Linked DNA regions of Struthio camelus. The protein of the gene in region 1 interacts with the protein of each later gene in a biochemical or structural test. Links are inferred from orthologs where the notes say so. Each region holds a gene or a part of one and is shown in the gene's direction. Other genes may lie near its edges. The genes, in order: WASL and PFN1.

Evidence for each region.
Region 2: the proteins of WASL (region 1) and PFN1 form a complex in vitro, tested with the Homo sapiens proteins (2 studies listed by BioGRID). The link is inferred for Struthio camelus from reciprocal best matches to the Homo sapiens genes WASL and PFN1.

What each region holds. Positions count from the first base shown.
Region 1 is NC_090942.1:24,921,677-24,932,251, forward strand, and holds the start of WASL (actin nucleation-promoting factor WASL), read left to right. Parts: upstream 1-5,981; 5' UTR 5,982-6,451; coding exon 6,452-6,574; intron 6,575-7,740; exon of another isoform or gene 7,741-7,882; coding exon of another isoform or gene 7,883-7,963; intron 7,964-10,575. UniProt on the Homo sapiens protein: Regulates actin polymerization by stimulating the actin-nucleating activity of the Arp2/3 complex. Involved in various processes, such as mitosis and cytokinesis, via its role in the regulation of actin polymerization.
Region 2 is NW_027182728.1:90,366-100,037, forward strand, and holds PFN1 (profilin-1), read left to right. Parts: upstream 1-5,174; 5' UTR 5,175-5,288; coding exon 5,289-5,420; intron 5,421-7,447; coding exon 7,448-7,640; intron 7,641-8,436; coding exon 8,437-8,534; 3' UTR 8,535-8,560; downstream 8,561-9,672. Other genes in the region: ENO3 (beta-enolase), read right to left, coding at 338-433, 650-739, 1,158-1,215; E3 ubiquitin-protein ligase RNF167, read right to left, coding at 9,194-9,351, 9,431-9,511. UniProt on the Homo sapiens protein: Binds to actin and affects the structure of the cytoskeleton. At high concentrations, profilin prevents the polymerization of actin, whereas it enhances it at low concentrations. By binding to PIP2, it inhibits the formation of IP3 and DG.

The sequences.
Region 1 (10,575 bases):
AAAAATAGATGGTTTTCATCTGTCTTCTCAAGACAGTTTGCTGTATGTTCAATTTTATTTTTGGTCATTTATTTCTTAAAGCTCCTACAGCATATATTTGTTAAGTTTCTGTATTTGTTAAACAGATTCTCTTTTGTCCTATAAAAACAATACAGGTCAGCGCACCAGTGGTTCTAAGTGGCCTGGAGCTGATATAAGCAATCTCCCTGAACACAAAAATCAGGCTAATCAAGATATGCACATTCTCAATCTTGCTTTATGAGGTGGAGCCATAAATCTTCAAGAATACTGATGCATAAAGACAGCATAAAGACTGCTTTTTTTTTTTTTTTTAAATATTTGCATCAAATAGCAACACCACACAGAAGCAAGGCTATTAAAAACGTACTAACACTACAGTGACAGTTTGATACAACAATGAAACCTCAAGGCTGAACATATCCATTGGATGAAGGATGACCTTGTGATAGGGATCTTGATCCTTGGTCTAATGGATGGCAGGAGAACAAGAACTGGCCTGGGCAGGAAGCAAGTGTCTCAGTGATTCCACAAAACAGGGCAGTAAAGATCTGATACTGTAAGCCCTAGTAGAAGACAGAATCCCAAAAGGAATCAGAGTACAGTTCATGCCTATCCCTTATGGTTGTTATATGCTGGATACAGAATTAAAAAAAAATAGAGAAAAACTACATGAAAACCATCCACCCAGATCCGCATTGCAATTGTCACTGAATTACAATACCTATTTGACAGTTGTTCAGTGACCTATTGGGAGTAAAGTACCCATCTCAAGCCAACTCGTAGAGGGTACATACTTATGTCATATTTAGTACTTCCAGTAAAAACGGCAGATTTTGAATGTACTTGACTGTGCTACCCTCATCTCAGTAAAGATGAGGCTTCCTGGCAAGGACCAAGCAGATTGTGAAGGGCGTTCAGTCACGCTGCAAAGAAGAACTGAGTTTTCAAAGCCAGAGCAAGCGTTCTGTCATCAATGGAATCTGCTGTAGCAACATATTTGCAGATTGCAGTGAAGGAAAGAACATGCTTTCCTTTTTCCTTTTTTTTTTTTTTTTTTTTGAAGGGGTGAGGTTCTTGAGTGCTATGGTGGCTGATTCATGGTTGAAGCGAGATTTCATTACACTGAATTTAAAAGCTGTCAGGAAACTCAGAGGAAGGAATAAATGTTCCTTTCAACATCTGTGGATAAATAAAATAAACTCATCTACTCCATTCATATTTATCACTGGGTGTAAAACTCAGAAATCATACCTCTGCTAAGGTAAAAACCAAGCACAGAGAATAAAAACAGTGTCCCAACAAACCTTGTGGATATAGAGTTTTTGGAGATGAGCTTTGATGCAAGGATAGATTCTAGCTAAGCTTGGGAAAGAAAAATGTTTTCCTCTGATTTGCAGAGCGGCTACAGAAATGTGCCACAGTTTCTGCAGCCAGCGATCAGCATACCTGTATAACAGAGAATTATTAAGAGGAGAGATAGGATGTTTCAGATACTAGTATGTGTTTTGGTCTGTCTTCTCCACAGCCCTGAAAAGGAGGATAATACAGTCCAATGAAGGAAGCAGAAAGGAGCTCTTGAAAAGAGCTAGGTCTCCCCCTGACTGATTTCACAGTTAAAACAATACCGCCGAAACCTTGCACCAGTATATCCAAAATATGATTCTTCATCCAAAGCAAAATCAATGTTATCCTTTGGTAAGCAGGACGGAAGGACACAAATTCTTCTCCTTCACCTTAAAGTCAACAGTCCGATATTGAAAATGAGAAGAAAGGATACAGCAACCAGAAAGAAATGAGTAACAGGCAATACAGGGAAAGAAAAATTCTAGCTAGTACCCAAGGCAGCATTTATGCAATGAATGAAAGAACTTACTGTCCTGCTATGTCGGTTCTCAGGCTTTAGCCTGCTCATTCCAGTGGCAAGGACGCTCTTCTGCGTGGCTGGCCCACAAAAGGAAACGATTCTTCCTACTAACCCTACAGGTTCATACGCATAAGGAATTATCAGAGGCTTTGCTGGATGATTAAAATAAAACTTAACTGCCAACTTTGCAACTTCTGTGGCTACTTCATGTCCTTCCGTGCCTGAAATGTTTAGTATATAAATTCAATAAATAGGAAAAAAAACAAATATAGACTCCTGGCTCTGTTTATTCCAGACTATTCCCTCCCCCCACTCCTGAACAAATAATCAAATATAAAATCTCTGTGAGAAAGGAAATACAGTAACTGCATCTGAAACTAACCATAAATTAACAGATGATTCAGTTACTTCCAGAGTAGGCTGAGATTCTTAAGCACTTAAAGGTTCAGTGCACAGAGAGCAGAAGCGAATGAACTTCTTTTCAGTATAATAACTAATATGCTATTTATATTGATTCAGTAACAATCTGAAACCAATTCTCTTAGATGAGTTCTATGTTGAGAGAAAAAAAAAAAGTGGTTTACTTAAAAAAGGGAACTTGTATCTTCACAAATCAAACATTATTTTCAACCACAATGAGAGTTCCTTTTTTTTGGTTACCACAAGTGGTTTTGCAGTAAATGGACCAGCGAACTCTACAGGCACAACCAAAAAGGGTGCTCAAGGAAACAAGGTCTTCTTTCCTTTTGCCCAGACTTTTACTATCCTGTTGACATACCCCTTAAACGTGGTGACAGTAATCATACATTCTTACTTCTCTTCTCCCCCCAGCCATATTTATGTGGTCACTGCAACGATGTAGGCACTTGTACTATGCTGTTCCACTTCTCATTGAATATAAAATGGAAGAGAGACGACAATATTTTTTTCCTATTGAGATCTTCATTCCTCTTTAAGCCTGCTTATTCTTCGTGTAATCAACCACCAAAGACTGCGTGACCTAAATTCAGTACTGGGACAAAATCAAGACTTGGAAAATGCAGTGCCACTACTAAAAATAAACAGACAAAATCCTTGGTGAACTGCTTCCGAGTGGAAACATTTCATCTCTTTCATTTAGATAATTAATTGTTATGTTTTAGAATGTGACCCTCACAAAACCTTTAAAATATGCTATGATTCACAGTGCTAGAAAGATCAACCTTAGGTAGAATGCTTTCCTCTCTTTTTTGCTTTTATTATTTTCAATTGCAGAATTTTATTTCTGAAATTGTATAAATACGTAAATTCTGAAATTCAAAGCACGCGACTTCAGAATAGTTATAGTATTCAACTTGTGCTTGTGACAAACTGTTGAAAAATGTAGACGTCCATATGTAAGGGTAGAATTCAGAGACATATATTTCTGTCAAAGGTATGTTTGACAAGGATAATAATTGTTTATTAAATAGTTGTTTACAATATAAACCTTTAAAATCATTACACTTGCTTATATCAATAGATGTATGTCACTTTCAACGTAGCTCAGTACCTTGGGACTATGAGCTGGTATTTTAACAATTTTGAAAGAAAAATACAAATGAGCATCAGGCTGCCGCAAAGCTTGTAGGAGTCAGCAGTGGGCAACGCAGTTTCAACCTTAGGGACTACAGTGAGAAATTCAGAGCAAAGCCTATGATAAAGGACAGCAATTTCTCTAAGACAGGTCAGCCAGAACACTGCAATTTCTTTCAAAGATAGCCAGGTAATTCTGGTTTGTGGCTTTGCTTAAAAGAACTTTCCTTGAAATTGGATGTGTTACGCAGAAATAGCAGCTCTTTGCTGGTATTACTGCTAATGTAAATATCAAAGGCAAAAATCTATTTTTCAGTGGGTCCCTTGGACTTACGACCAACTATTGATATTTCCATTTCACTTCAGGACTCACTCTTTTGCCATGATATAAAAACAGAAATGGCTTTTGCATAATTAATGAAACACAGCAGTTGAAAATAGTCCCCCCTTCCCACCCCCCCCTTCCTGTCTACCCTTAGTAAAAAAAGCAAACAAAATCCTAACAACAGAGTCTGGTTAAAGGGCCCTTAAGAATAGCTACTGGCCAGCTGGTCTGAGAAGAACACTCACTATGAAGCAAAAAGTATCACCAGTAACAATAAAACTTTATCTGGATGCAAAGATCCATACAACAAGGAATAAACAGTTAACATGAACAAAAATGAGAAAAACATCACTAAACTTAACGGGTCAAGGTGAGGAAAGTACCTATCAGAGGCCTACCATATTTTTAATTCAGCTATTTACATTGTGACCACCAATACAAGTACATACATTTCCTTGGAAAGGGTTTTGGCTATAAAATAACTCATTGCTTTATGAAACAAAAAACAAGTGCCTTGTAAAGTAGTTCATATCTGTTATCTTTTCACATACGTTCTCAATGAACGAAATGCTGCCAAAATTCTAATACACTTCAACTAAAATATTTCCCTTTCCACTAAAATACATTCTAAGTCTGGATACACTTACACGGAAAAGGAATTAAAACTGAATAATAACCTATTATTGCTGAAATGTATGTTGTAAGCATTTGGGTCCTATTCAGTGTTTTTCCTTTATAACAAAGGCCCTAGCCACTTACATGACATCTGCACATTGAGGAATGCTGTATATGCCTTTATTTTAACCTTTTGTACTGGAGGCTCAGGATTTTCCCCCATACATTTCCCCTTCCTCACACTTTCAAACACTGTTACAGGCTCTTTTAAGTAAGGGGAAAAGGGCCTAGAAGCAGTGCAGAAGGGTTTGCCATTTGTTCCCGCCTGATCTTTTGGAAGATGTGAAGGAAAGTCAGCACAACTGCGTACCAAGATTTGTGCTCACACGTTCTCCTCCTGTGCTTGTTTTTTTTTTTTTTTTAATACAAAGTAAATCATCACAGGAAGACTGGTTTGGCATTTTCCAGATGCACAACAAATTTATCAGAGAGGATGAAGTCAACCTATTCTTCGCTTAAAAATACTGAGAGAACTAGCAGGGTGCTCACTTGGACATCTGGCTTTCACCTTCATACTGGGAGGAGCATGAGCACTTCTCCTGCGGAGCTGCAAGTCGGCCTGGGCAGCGGGCAGCTGTGCTCTGGACTGCAGGGCTTGGAAAGGTCTTCAGCTCCATCCTGGCTAGCAACTACTGCACGGAGAGAGGCAGAGGGAACAGAAACCTAGCTGGCAAAGCATACCGACTGCGTACGCAGCTCCTCTGCGCTGACCCCCTGGAAAGCCTAAGTACCTGCTACTATTTCTACTTGCTATTTTACCTCAGACTGCAAAAGCCTGTGTTTAGGAGGGTAGAGTCTCGCACACCCCCTCCTACGTCTCTGTGTGACCGAGCACGGAGGAGCTGCCTCTGCGCAGCAAAGGCTGCAGGAATTACCCACCCCGCGCAACACAGCTTGGAACAGCAAAACTGACTGGATGATTTGCCAGATAAGCCATCAGGAAACATTTTCCTTTCAATAACAAACATTCAAAGGATTTTTGAGTTATAAATTAACTCACATTTGACTAAAAATTTAACAGGAATTCAACCCTGGCCTTCTAACACGCTCTTCATCACCTCCATCCTCAAAGCACTGCACGAAGCCAACCACACTGCGCGCTCACGTTGGTAACGAACTTAAGCAAAAACGACAACGGCGGAGGGGGGGGGTTTCACCACGAACGCTTTTTATGCCCTGTCCCGTTCCGGGTGACTTTTGAGTACGGGCCCGAATTTTTCTGACACGTTTTCCTCACACGGGTGGGCAGCGGCGGCTACCTCGCCGCCTCAGCCCCCGCCACCGCTCCCCGTCCGGCCCGGCCGCCGCCTCGCCGCCAGCCTGGATTCCGCTCCGGGCCCAGCGGCCGGGCGCGCTCCTCCCGGCCCCGGCCCCGGCCCCGGCCCCGGCCCCGGCCCCGGCCCCCTCCGCCAGCAGCCGCCGAGCCGAGCCGGCCCGGCAGGTATTGAGGGGGGAGGGCGCGGGGCGGCCCCCGCCAGCTGCGTGAGCCAGCGCGGCCCGCCCAGGGGCTGCCGGCCGGGGCGGGGCGGAGCAGGGCGGGACGGGACGGGACGGGACGGCAGGCGGCGGGTCCCCGCACCGCGCATGGTAGCGGCGGCGGCGGCGGCAGCAGCGCGCTCGCCGGCCTCCCCTCTGGCTGCCGCGCGCTGTGGTCTCGCCCGCCCCCGCTGCCATGTTGGATTGTGCGGCCGCCGGAGCCGGGCCGAAGTTGGAAGTTTAGTGGCCGCCGCGGGGGTGGGCGCGATCCGCCGGCGGCGGCGGGGCGGCCCGACGCCTCCTCTCTCCCCTCCCCTCCCCCGCGGGCCGCCGGCAGCTCGCCGAGGCCCGGCCGCCGCTCTCCCCCCGCCCCCTCCCGCCTTCCCCGGCCCCGAGAGGGAGGCTCCGCGATGCGGCTGCCGTGAGGCCGCGGCGGCCAGGAGCAGGACGAGGAGGAGGGGGCGGCCGCGGGCGCCGACGGTCGCAGCGCGGCGAGGGCAGTGCCGAGCCCCGCGGGGCCGGCGCCGGCGCCGGCCATGAGCGGCAGCCAGCAGCAGCAGCAGCCCCCGCAGCCGCGGCGGGTCAGCAACGTGGGCTCCCTGCTGCTGACCCCGCAGGAGAACGAGAGCCTCTTCACCTTCCTCGGCAAGAAATGCGTGGTGAGCCCCGCGGGGAGCGGCGCGGCGGGGGGGGGACCGGGCCCGGCCCGGGGCCGGGGCCGTGTGAGGACAGGCGGGGGACCGCGTCCGGGACCTTGTCCGCCCTCGCCTCGCCTCGCCTGGCCGGCCCGTACGCGGCTCCCAGCCCGGAAGTTTCTCCCCGGCCCAGCCGCCTTCCGCGTCGCCGGCGCCCGGGCGGGGGACGGCGCTGCAGGCCCGGCCTCCGCGCCCGCCTGGCCCAGGAGCTGCGGCCTCGCGCGGGGCCGGCGGCGGAGGAGGCGGAGGAGGAGGAGGGCTGCGGGCGGCAATGAATGAGGCGAGCGTGGCGCTGCCGCCGCCGCCGGCAGGGGAGAGGAGAGGAGGGAAGGGGAGGCCGCGCCGCCCGCAGGTGGCGGGGCCTCGCCCGCGCTGCCGCGGCCAGAGGGGGCCGCTTCCCGCAAGCGCTGCGCCGCGCCGGGCCCGGCCCGGCCCCCTGCCCGTGCGGGAGCCGTGCGCGCTGCGGGGGCGCCGGGCTGGGCCGCTCCGGGCCTGGCGCCGCCGCGGGCTGCGCGGGGCCGCTCGGCGCCGGCCGTTTCTCCGGGCGGCCCTCTGGAGCGGCGCCGGCAGCCGTGCCCAGCGCCTGCCCGGCCTGTCCTGCGGGGGGCGGCGGCGGCGAGCCCCCTCGCCTCTGCCCCGCGACCAGCCTGCGGTTTGGCCGAGGGGACGGGGCAGCCATGGAGCTGCTGCAGCAGCACTCGGTGGAAGAGTTTAATTGCCTGACGAGGCTGACATGAGTCCCGGTTGCACCTGTGGTACAACAAAGCAATACTGACAAAGTTGGAGGAAGGCTCGTGTGGGTACTAGGCCTGCCTTGGATGTAGCCTGTGCTTTTGTTAGCCTGATCAACAGGCTTGCATCTTTAGCTGCAACTTCAATACTGCGTTACTCCCTGTCAAAAAAGAAATGCGATATCAAGATTAAAAAAGGGGTGGGGGGGGGGAAAGGTGTAGTAGATGTGTTCCCAAGTTCATCAGTAAGTTCTTAGTTTCTTGAATAGCTTCTTGCCTATTAATATAATGTAGTTATGAAGTATAGTTTTAATATAATTTTCAGAGCTTCAGGAGTTAACTGCATATATTTTTTCCTAAAGGACTTATCATTTTTCAAATTATCTTTTTGAAGCCATTTTAAATGATGCTATCCTGATGTTTTCTGATACTTCACGTCCAGTGCCTAGAACAGCAACGTTAGGCACCTACACCTTCTTGTGGCACTATTTTAAAGCAGGATATCGGTGTCATCATAATACATAACCCTGTGGACTTTGAAATGGTGCTGTTGATCAAACCGGTTGTTGCAAGGAAGGAAAGAGATATAACCGAACAGGAAATGGGTGATGTTTGCATTGGGGTGAGTTAAGTAACATGAGGTTATCATAATTAAGTTGCTGCCATTTTCAGATGGGTCAGAAAGCGTGATTGTGAAATATGTAAAAAGAGACTTATGCTAAAAAGTAATACATTTGTAAGAAACACCTTTATCTCACTACTTGAATTACTTTCAGGCACACATTTCATGCATTTCATTCCATTACAAGAAAAAAAGTAAACTGTTGTCTATATTAAAAGGAAGCACATGAATTTGTGTGCTTCAGTTGATTTCCAGTTGTTTTTTCTGTGGCTTAGATTTTCTTGTCAAGGGAATGTGTCTGTTTTTGTTATGTATGCTCAGCTGTAACGCTCATCTTAAGTTTTTGAAATGTGTTATTTATGGGGATAAGTTAAACCGGCCTCAAGGTAAACAACTTCATAGTGTCTGGATGATGTGTGGTTTGTGACATGTTGATAGCTTTATAGATACAGGGTTTTTTTGTTTTTTGGTTTTTTTTTGAGACTACACATTCTTGCCATTTAGTCTGAATCTTGAATGACTTTCTAACTGAGAATTTCTTTTTATTATTTTTTTTTAATTATGGCCACCCCCTTTACCCTTCTTCTCCTGCCCTATATGTTTTCTAGCTTAAGGTCAGGCATCTTACTGTAATTGAGGGTCTATATCATATGCTTGAGGACTTGGGTCCAGAAGACTATCAAAGATAGTACTCTAGACTTCTTGGCTTTCTTTAGCATGCTGAGGCAAAATTGTGGCAATTCAGAAACTACTTTGTGAACAAATTGAACACCTCTATCCCAGGGACAGCAGTGGATAGGTACCTGGGGATGATAACAGCTTCGACTTTCCAATTTGAATCCATCAAGTCTGACAGAGCTGTATGGTACTCTGTATACCGTTGATCTTCTAATTTGAGTACAACTCAGTGTCAGTGTGCTATGCTATTTTTTTGTTTGTTTGTTTGTTCTTTACTATAACATTATATTTGATATTTTAGTAATATCCATGTTTGGAATTAGTCATTATTGAAGCTTTAGACAGTAAATATTACTAGTAAACAAAAATTTTGCAAGTTTCACAGGATGTTAAAAGTTTATTTTGACTTGGGCGGAATTGACTGTGCTACCTGGCTACTGCAGGTGGTATTTGCATCAGTTTGGACGTGGATATGCTACCGGATGTGAAGAGTAATAAACTGAGAAAACTGCTTTTAAAATGCATTGAGCATAATACAATTGTATTTGTCAAAGCCAAAATACAAGTTGCAATAATCATTGAGATAAAAGAGAATAAAAAACTGAATGGGAGCCTTAGTTCTTAATTGGTAAGACGTAAAGATTTTTATCGGGAAAGAGCCCGTAAGACTTCTTGTGCGTATGAAAACAGCATGAACTAAGACTTAAAGGCAGCTTGCAAACCAACAGACAAGTTTATGTGACTGTGAAGTATTTCAGTTGTGCTTATGCTGCTGGCTGTGCATCCATAAAGGTATCCGAAAGGTTGAGGTCCTAGCCTGAATAGGAGGCATTTCTAGGAGAGAGAAGAAGTAGTGAATCACCAGTTTAGAAGTGGTAGTTATCTCATTTAGAAACATACAAAGAGATGAGATGCAGAGGGGGAAGACAAAGCATAAAGGATAAGGCCCTGTAGGAGGCAGGAATATTAAGAGTTACATACACGTTTCTTTTGAGGTCTTTGTCATGTTTTATCAAAAGGCATACAACTTCTTTGTATGCCTCATTAATATCCAGTGGAGTAATTTCTCTAAACAACTTGTTAGCGATCATCTTCCCTTCTAGACAGAATCTCATTGGTTTTTTTTTTTTTTTTTGGTGACAGTTCCTTTGAACTAAACTTGTGCCTACAAAACTGATTCCTCACAGGAAGAGGTCAAATTGGACTCTTTGCAGCAAGTGGCTTAGCCATTGTCCTTAAACTGCTTTCATGCATCTACAATAGGGTTACTTATCATAAAATATTTCATGCTTATTTTCCTCATAGCTTGCTCTTGGACTGCAGTTGCGAAATGTGCTGAAAACAAAAGATTGTTTAGTCGTGGGTGAGAAATGTGTTGAGACCACGTATGAACACTCGAGTAGGCATTTGTGTCCCATAGTTGTTCGTATTTGAAACAAAGCATTGAGTCACCAAGAATGGGATTCGGTTCAGGATTAAGAGAGAGCAATTTAGGTGTTTGAGTTCCATTATTGTCAATAGGCGTGACTGGCTTCCGTCTAGATCTCTTAGCTTTAGACATGTACAACTAAGTATCAACTGAATTTCTGTTTTGGCTCCTGTGACTGTATTGGTTACATCTCTCCCAAGTATGCTGGTAGCAAAGAGATGTAGTTCACGTGTCAGACACCTACATGTAGGTGTCTTGACCTCTAAGTTCTACAAATTTCAGTCAGTGTGTATTTCTATCAGAGTGTTATGTGTTGCTAAACATAGAGAAGGCTTTTCTACTCACTTTTTAAAAATTTTTGAGAATAGCTCTTGAGAATTCTCCGGAGCTTTTGCATTCCCTTCTGAGCTACTTTGCAGACCTTTTCTGTTTTGAATGTAGTTGAGCGTCAGGAGTGTCTGAGCATCTCTGTGGCTAATTAGCCTGTAAAAAACATCGCCCATGC
Region 2 (9,672 bases), on another chromosome or scaffold:
GGAGGTCATTGGGTCTTGGGGGGATCCAGCTGGGTTTTGAGGGATCCAGTTGGGTCTTGGGGAGGTCGTTGGGTTTTGGGGCACCCAGAGGGGTCTTGGGGGGGATCGTTAGGTCTTGGGAGGCTCAGTGGGGTCTTGGGGGATCTAGTTGGGTCTTGGGGGACCCAGTTGGGTTTTGAGGGATCCGGCTGGGTTTTGAGGAGTTTGTCGGGCTTTGGGGGACTCATTTGGGTCTTGGAGGACCCGGCTGGGTCTTGGGGGGGATCGTTGGGTTTTGGGGGTCTCGGTTGGGTCTTGGGGGGGTTGCTGGGTCTTGGGGGGCCCTGTGGGGTCTCACCTTTGCCCAGGTAGCGGCTCTTGTCGCCATCGCGGAGCTCCAGGGCCTCGTGGATCCCCGTGGAGGCGCCGCTGGGGACGGCAGCGCGGAAGTGGCCTGGGGGGCTGGAGTGAGCCGGGGGGGGCCACAACCCCCCATGGGCCCCCTATGTCCCCCCCACATGCCCCCAGGCCCTCCCACATTCCCCCATGTCCCCCCAGGACCTCCTATGTCCCCCCATGTCCCACCAGCTACCTGCGTCCCACCCCCCCGTCCCCCCATGTCCCCCATGTCCCCCACCTCTGCCCGTGTCCCCCCGGCCCCGGCGCCCACCCTTGGCCGTGTGCAGGTCGACCTCCACCGTGGGGTTCCCGCGGGAGTCGAGGATCTCCCGCGCGTGGATCTTCTGGATGGACATGGCTGCTGGGGGGGGGTGGGGGCAGGCGTCAGGGCCAGGGGGACCCAGGCGTCCGGGCGCCCCCCGCAGCCACGCCGCCCCCCGCCACACCAGGGGGCCCAGGCGTCCGAGCGCCAGCTTTCCCTGCCCTTCTCCCCCCCACCGGGGGCCCAGGTGTCCGGGTGGCCCCGCTCTGCACTATAGACCCCACTGCCCTCAGGGCACCCAGGCGTCCGGGGGGGGCCCAGGCGTCCGGGTGGCCCCGCTCTGCACTATAGACCCCACTGCCCTCAGGGCACCCAGGCGTCCGGGGGGGGCCCAGGCGTCCGGGTGGCCCCGCTCTGCACTATAGACCCCGCTACCCCCAGGGGTCCCAGGCATCCGGGGGGTCCCAGGCGTCCGGGCACCCCACAGGGACCCAGGCGTCCGGGCGCTGCTGCTCACTGGTGCTGGTTGGGCTCCGAGTGACCCCGGGGGGTCCCCGAGGGCCTTTTATGCCCATCCCCTGCCCCCGCCTCCCCCAGGGACCATCTGCAAACGCGGGACCCAGGCGTCCAGGGCCCAGGCGTCCGGGTGGGCTCGCCCCTGCCCCACCCGCCAGGCCTGACTGCCCCCCCGGGGGCCCAGGCGTCCGGGGACCCCCGCTCTGCCCCGCTGCCCCCCCCAGGGGGTTCAGGTGTCCGGGGGGGCCCAGCTGCCCCCCTCCCCCACCAGGCTTCGCAGCCCCCAGGGGGCCCAGGCGTCCGGGCGCTGGTGGCCCTGGTGGCACTTTGCGATGGTCCCTGCCCCCCCCGGGCTATTTTTAGCCCCCCCCAAAGGTCGGAGCTCGAGGAAAGGACACGGTAACTCGAGACGCCCGGACGCCTGGGCCCCCGTGGGCTGGGAGCAGCCAGATGCCTGGGTCCCCCCGAGGCTGCCCGGACGCCTGGGTCCCTGGAGGATGTGGGGGGGGGAGCACCCGGATGCCTGGGTCCCCCTTGGGCTGGGGGCACCCGGACACCTGGGTCCCCCCGGGACTGGGGGTACCCGGACGCCTGGGTCCCCTGGAGTTGAGGCTGCCCGGACGCCTGGGTCCCTGGGCGACTCCTGGGCCCCACCGCACGGGGGCGCCCGGACACCTGGGTCCCTGGAGGATGGGGGGGGGGGAGCACCCGGACGCCTGGGTCCCTGGAGGATGGGGGGGGGGGGAGCCCCCGGACGCCTGGGTCCCTGGGGGGGGGAGGGGGACGCCTGGCGGCTGTGCTGGGAATGGCACCGGTCCTATGGGATCCATAGGGGATGGGGGGAGGGGAGGGGCCCTGCGGGGTCTATAGGGGCCGGGGCCCTATAGGGGAAACGGGAGGGGGGAGATGGGCCCCGTGGGGCCTATAGGGGACGTTGGGGGGGGGTCGGGCCCTATGGAGCCCATAGGGCAGGGGGAGGGGGAGGGGCCCCGGCTCCGCTCGCTGCTAAAAACCCACTTCCCGGGGAAGTTCCCACAGCGGGGCGGGGGCGGGGCGGGCCCGGACGCCTGGGCCCCGGGGGGGGCAGGGCCCCTGGACGCCTGGGCCCCCGGACGCCTGGGCCCCGGGGGGGGCCCCGGATGTCTGGGCCCCGGGGGGGGGCAGAGGGGCCCCCGGACGCCTGGGTCCCTCGGCCAGGACGAGCTGGTTTCCTGCCCCCCCCCCATTTCCCATGATGCCCCGGGTTGGCGTGAGCGGGGGAGGGGCCGCGGTGGCGACACTGCTGGGGGAAGTTCGCAGCGGGGGGGAGGGGCAGGCGCCCGGCTGCCTCCGACCCCCTGGTCCCCCGGACGCCTGGGTCCCCAGGCAGGCGCGGGGTCCAGGGCCCGCTGCCCGGACGCCTGGGTCCCCCGGACGCCGCCTGCCCCCAGCGCCGGCGCCTCGGCCCCCTCCCCCGCCCGGGACAGGAAGTGAAACCGCCGCCCCTCCCCCCCTCCCCCCCCCGGAAAGTCCCCGCCCGGGGCTGACTCAAAGCAGCCGGGAGATATGGGCCGATGCATGTGCGATCGCACACGCGTGTGCACGGGGCGGGGAGCGCGGCGGGGGGGCATCGCACGGGGGGGGGCGTTGCACCAGGAGTTGGTTTGCTCTGGGGTTGCGCTGTGCTGGGGGGCTCATGGCGCGAGGGGTGGGTTGCACCAGGGGTTGCAGTGCACGAGGGGTGCGTTGCACCGGGAGTTGGGTGCGTTGCACCAGGGGTTGCAGTGCACGAGGGGTGCGTTGCACCGGGAGTTGGGTGCGTTGCACCAGGGGTTGCATTGCACGAGGGGTGCGTTGCACCGGGAGTTGGGTGCGTTGCACCAGGGGTTGCATTGCACGAGGGGTGCGTTGCACCGGGAGTTGGGTGTGTTGCACCAGGGGTTGCAGTGCACGAGGGGTGCGTTGCACCGGGAATTGGGTGCGTTGCACCAGGGGTTGCATTGCACGAGGGGTGTGTTGCACCGGGAGTTGGGTGCGTTGCACCAGGGGTTGCAGTGCACGAGGGGTGCGTTGCACCGGGAATTGGGTGCGTTGCACCAGGGGTTGCAGTGCACGAGGGGTGCGTTGCACCGGGAGTTGGGTGCGTTGCACCAGGGGTTGCAGTGCACGAGGGGTGCGTTGCACCGGGAGTTGGGTGCGTTGCACCAGGGGTTGCACTGCACGAGGGGTGCGTTGCACCGGGAGTTGGGTGCGTTGCACCAGGGGTTGCACTGCACGAGGGGTGCGTTGCACCGGGAGTTGGGTGCGTTGCACCAGGGGTTGCATTGCACGAGGGGTGCGTTGCACCGGGAGTTGGGTGCGTTGCACCAGGGGTTGCAGTGCACGAGGGGTGTGTTGCACCGGGAGTTGGGTGCATTGCACCAGGGGTTGCAGTGCACGAGGGGTGCGTTGCACCGGGAGTTGGGTGCGTTGCACCAGGGGTTGCAGTGCACGAGGGGTGCGTTGCACCGGGAGTTGGGTGCGTTGCACCAGGGGTTGCATTGCACTGGGGCTGCACCACACGGGGGGCTGCATTGCACCGGGGGGGTGTCGCACAGGGGCCGAGGCGCCGCACGGCCTGTGCGTTGCTCCATGCTGGCACGAGGACACGCATGTCCGGGGGGCTGCGTGTGACACGGACACGGGGGTCCCGGCGCAGGGAGCTGGGGAGGGGGCCGCGAAGAGGTGCAACGCGCCACCGAGGGCGACGCCGGGGGGGCCGTGGCGGCAGGAAACGTGGGGTGTCACCCGCAGGGAGGGGCCGTGCAAAGGGGGGTGCGGAGGCCGGGGAGGGGTGCAAGGGGGGGGGCGACGTGCAGGGGCGTGCAAGGCGCGGTGATGCCCGCGGGTTGCACGGCACGAGGAGGGTGCAACGCACCCGGCTGCAAGGCCGGGGGGTGCGATGCACCCGCGGGTGCACACAGCACAAGGGTGCCGCACCCGGAGGGGCTGCTGGGGGGGGGGGGGGCGTGCGCACGTGTGCGTGCAACGCTCGAGGGGGGCGGGGGGGCGGGAGGGAGCTGCAGTGCCCAGATGTTGCGTGTGCGACGCCGGAGGGATGCAGTGCACGGGGATGCACTGACTGGTTTGCATGTGCAATCCCCGGGGGGGGGTGGGGGGTGCACATCTGTGCGTGCGTGTGCGCTTGTGTGTGCGTGTGCGTGTGTGCGCGTGTGTGTGTGCGCGTGTGTGTGTGCGCGTGTGTGTGCGCGTGTGTGTGTGTGCGTGTGTGTGTGTGCGTGTGTGTGTGTGTGTGCGCAGTGTCTGCACACGTGTGTGCACGTGCACGGTGCCCCGGGGATGCAACACAGGTGGATGCAACACCCGGGCTGTGCGTGTGCAGTGCACATGGATGCAATGCTGGGGGGGGCAGCGCTAGCAGGTGCAGTGCTGGGTGTGCAGTGCCCGGGGGGGGGGTGCAGCACCCGCTGTGCAGTGCCTGCGGTGCAGTGCCCATTATGCAGTGCCGGGGGGGGGGTGCAGTGTCGGGGGGGGGCAGTGTCTGAGGTGCAGCACCCGTCATACAGCGCCCCTTGTGCAGTGCCCGGGGGGGGGGGGGTGCAGTGCCCGGGGGGGGGGGTTGCAGTGCTGGGGGGGTGGGTGCAGTGCTGGGGGGGGGGGGTGTGCAGTGCCCGGGGGGGGGGGGGCAGCGCCGGGGGGGGGGGGAGTGCAGTGCCCGGGGGGGGGGGGAGTGCAGTGCCCCGGGGGGGGTTGCAGTGCGGGGGGGGGGGGGTTTGCAGTGCCGGGGGGGTTGCAGTGCCCGGGGGGGGCAGTGCTGGGGGGGGGGCAGCGCCTGTCGCCCAGCGCCCGCCGCTGCCCGGGGTCGCTCTGCCGCCGCCGCCGCCGCCGCCGCCGGGCGGGCTGGGGGGGGCGTGTCCCGCGGCGGCCCCGCCCCCTGCGGGCGAGCCCCGCCCCCTGCGGGCGAGCCCCGCCCCGCGGAAGCCCCGCCCCCGCCGCGCGGGGCTATGAAAGGCGGCGCGCGGCCCCGCCGCGGGGCCCCGTCTCGCGCCCGCCGCCCGCTCCGCGCACGCGCCGCCGCCGCCGCCGCCGGCCCCGCCCCCGCCGGCCCCGCCCCGCCCGCCCGGCCCGCGCCGCCGCCGCCGCCGCCGCCGCCATGAGCGGGTGGGCGCCCTACGTGGAGAGCCTCATGGCGGACGGCACCTGCCAGGACGCCGCCATCGTCGGCTACAAGGACACGCCGGCCGTCTGGGCCGCCACCCCCGGCAAGACCTTCGCCAACATCACGGTGGGGCCCGGGCGGCGGCGCCGCGGGGGGGCGGCGGCCGTTGGGGGCGATTCCGCGGCGGTCCCGGGGCGCGGGGTGTCCCCGGGCCCCCCCGCCGGCCCAGGCGTCCGGCCCCCCCCCCCGCCCGCCCGCGCCGCGGCCCCCCCGGGCCGGGGGTCGGGCCCGGCCCCTCCCCCCGCCGGCAGGAAGTGACCGGGGGGAGGGGGGGCCGGATCCTGCCCATCCCCCCCATCCCATCCCCTTCCCCCCCCCGGCCCCAATCGGGACAAAAAAGGGAGAAAAATGCGTCCGGGAGCGGCCCCGGCCGCTGCCAGCGTGGCCCGGCCCCCCCCGCCGCCGGGGAGGGGACCCAGGCGGCCGGGCCGCGCGGGGGGGCCCAGGCGCCCGGGCCGCCCCCCTTCCCCGCTCCAGCGGGGGGCCCGGGCGCCCTTTACCCCCTCCCCTTCCCCAGCCACCCCCGGTTTGGGGAAGGAGCCCCGGCGTCCGGGCTGCGGCGAGCACGTGGCGGAGGGGCTGCGGGGGGGCCCGGACGCCTGGGCCCTCTGCCCGCCCGCCGAGGGGTCGCCGGTGTCTCCCCCCTCCCCCCGCTGAGAAAAATGCGCGGAATGTGGCAACTTCCCCCCGGCGGGGGAGGGGCGGCCGGGGCTTCCTGTGGGGGAGGGGAGGGGGCGCCTGGGCCCCCCGGGGCGGCGGGCAGAGGGGTGCCCGGGCGCCTGGGCCCCTGGCGGAGGCTGAGGGAGCTCCCGGACGCCTGGGCCCCCGGCAGGGCGTTGGGTGGGGTCCGGGACGCCTGGGCCGGCGCGGCTGGGGATGCCCCGGACGCCTGGGTCCTGCCTGTGGAGGGTGCCGGGGCGGGCGCCCGGACGCCTGGGTCCCTGGAGGAGCTGGTGCTGGTCTGGGCTCTTGGGCGCCCCGGACGCCTGGGTCCCCGGGGGGGTGTCAGGGCGGCTCACGGTGCTGCCCCGGACGCCTGGGTCCCGAGGAGGGGTGTCAGGGCGGCTCACGGTGCTGCCCCGGACGCCTGGGTCCCGAGGAGGGGTGTCAGGGCGGGCTCACGGTGCTGCCCCGGACGCCTGGGTCCCCGGGGGGGTGTCAGGGCGGCTCACGGTGCTGCCCCGGACGCCTGGGTCCCGAGGAGGGGTGTCAGGGCGGGCTCACGGTGCTGCCCCGGACGCCTGGGTCCCGAGGAGGGGTGTCAGGGTGGCTCACGGTGCTGCCCCGGACGCCTGGGTCCCCGGGGGGGTGTCAGGGCGGGCTCACGGTGCTGCCCCGGACACCTGGGTCCCGAGGAGGGGTGTCAGGGCGGGCTCATGGTGCTGCCCCGGACGCCTGGGTCCCCAGAGGGGTGTCAGGGCAGGCTCACGGTGCTGCCCCGGACGCCTGGGTCCCGAGGAGGGGTGTCAGGGCGGGCTCACGGTGCTGCCCCGGACGCCTGGGTCCCCGGGGGGGTGTCAGGGCGGCTCACGGTGCTGCCCCGGACGCCTGGGTCCCGAGGAGGGGTGTCAGGGCGGGCTCACGGTGCTGCCCCGGACGCCTGGGTCCTGAGGAGGGGTGTCAGGGTGGCTCACGGTGCTGCCCCGGACGCCTGGGTCCCCGGGGGGGTGTCAGGGCGGCTCACGGTGCTGCCCCGGACGCCTGGGTCCCGAGGAGGGGTGTCAGGGTGGCTCACGGTGCTGCCCCGGACGCCTGGGTCCCGAGGAGGGGTGTCAGGGCAGGCTCATGGTGCTGCCCCGGACGCCTGGGTCCCAAGGAGGGGTGTCAGGGCGGCTCACGGTGCTGCCCCGGACGCCTGGGTCCCCGGGGGGGTGTCAGGGCGGGCTCATGGTGCTGCCCCGGACGCCTGGGTCCCCAGAGGGGTGTCAGGGCGGGCTCACGGTGCTGCCCCGGACGCCTGGGTCCCCGGGGGGGTGTCAGGGCGGCTCACGGTGCTGCCCCGGACGCCTGGGTCCCCGGGGGGGTGTCAGGGCGGGCCACGCCCCCCCGCCCGGACACCTGGGTCCCTGACGGCGGGGGTCGTGGCCCGGCAGGCGGCGGAGGTGAACGCGCTGGTGGGGAAGGACCGGAGCAGCCTGCTGGTGAACGGGCTGACGCTGGGCGGGCAGAAGTGCTCCGTCATCCGCGACTCGCTGCTGGTGGAGGGCGAGCACAGCATGGACCTGCGCACCAAGAGCGCCGCCGGCGCCCCCACCTTCAACATCACCGCCACCGTCACCAACAAGAGTGAGTGTCCGCCCGGGCCCCTCGCGTCCCCCCCGTGTGCGCTCTGCGCCCGCCCCGGGCACCTGGGCCCCTCGTGTCACCCCCACGTCCCCCCTGTGTGCGCTCTGCGCCCGCCCCGGGCACCTGGGCCCCTCGTGCCACCCCCACGTCCCCCCTGTGTGCGCTCTGCGCCCACCCTGGACACCTGGGCCCCTCACGCCAACCCCGTGTCCGCTCTGCACCCGCCCCGGGCACCTGGGCCCCTCGCGCCGCCCCCGTGTCCGCTCTGCGCCCACCCTGGACACCTGGGCCCCTCACGCCGCCCCCGTGTGCGCTCTGCACCCGCCCCGGGCACCTGGGCCCCTCACGCCAACCCCACGTTACCTCCGCATCTGCTCCACACCATGCCCGAACGCTTGGGCCCCTCTGTGCTGCCCCTGGGTCACCCCCGCACCTGCCCCGGACGCCTGGGTCCCTCCATCCTCCCTGCTGGGTGCTGGATCCCCTCCCCTCTGCTCGCTCCTCCTGGACGCCTGGGTCCCTTTCCCATCCCCTCCCCCCTCCCAGCTCCCTGTTGCTCTGTCCCCGGATGCCTGGGTCCCTGGGTCGCTTCCCCATCCCCCCCGGATGCCTGGGCCCCTCTGCCCCCCCAGCTGTTGTGAGAAGGGGCAGCTGTTCCCCTCGCGGAGCAGCTGCACCCGGACGCCTGGGCCCCCTTGCGGGGGGGGGGATGTGGGAGGGTTCCCGGTGGGCCGGGCCCCCCCATGGAGGGGTTTCCCGGACGCCTGGGCCCTGCTGACCCCCCCCCCCCCCGCAGCGATCGTGCTGGTGATGGGCAAGGAGGGCGTCCACGGCGGCTGCGTCAACAAGAAGTGCTACGAGATGGCGGCGCACCTGCGGCGCTCCCAGTACTGACCCAATAAAGGCTGCGGCACCCGCGGCACCCGCCTGCTGCTGCTGCGCCCGGACACCGGGGCCCGCGCCGCTGGGGGGGGGGGACGGGGACGCCTGGGCCTGCCCGGGGCAAAGTCCGGCCAGGCTGGAGCCAGCGTCACGGGGGATGGGAGGGGGGGACGGGGCACCCTTGGGTGCGTTGGGGAGAGCTGGGGGGTCCAGAGCACCTTTGGGTGCTGGAGCCAGATTGGGGGGTCCTGGAGGGTCCTCTGGGTGCTGGAGCTGGGCTGGGCTGGTGGAGCTGGGTGGGGGGTCCTGGAGGGTCCTCTGGGTGCTGGAGCTGGTCTGGGGCCCAGGGACCAGCTCGAGCCCTGGGTTTGGGGTCCCGGAGCCCCTTGGGCTGCTGGGGCAGGACAGGGGGGTCCCAGAGGTGGTTCAAGGTGCTGGAGCCCCTTTGGGTGCTGGAGGGGTCTGGGGTGCTGGGGACCGGCTCAGCTGGGGCGTCCCGGACCCCCCTTGGGTGCTGGAGCCGGGGGCGAGTTCGGGCGGCAGGTTCGAGCGATGCTGGAGCCCCGCTCGGGTGCCGGGGGCGTCCGGGGTGCGGTGCCTCCCCCCGATCCCCGAGAGGAGCCGGAGCCGGGTTGGCCACGAGCCTTTATTGGGGGGCCCCGGCGTCCGCGTCAGACGGGGGCGGGGGGCAGCAGCGGGGTGCGCTCGGAGGCGCCCGTGTCGCCCTGGGGCGCCGGCTCCTCGGTGCCCGGCGGCACCCGCTGCTTGCACACGGGGCAGGTGCGGCGGGTGCGCGTCAGCCAGGGGTCCACGCAGCGGCTGTGGAAGGCTGCGGGGGCGGGGGCGGTCAGGGGGCCCAGGTGTCCGGGAGGGACCCAGGCGTCCCCCTGCCCCGCCCCGGCGCTCACCGTGGGCGCAGGGCAGCACCCGCAGCCGGTCGCCCTCCTCGTACTCGTCCAGGCAGATGGCGCAGACCTCGTACTCGTCCCCTGCGGAGCCGCGTCACCCGCGGGCCCAGGAGTCCGGGCCCCCCTGCCTCCCGTGAACCCAGGCGTCCGGGACAGCACCCAGGCCCCCCCCCCGTCACCCTTCCCGTGGCCTGGCCTCGCTGTGACCCCTCTGTTGGGGTGAGGGCCCAGGCGGCCGGGGT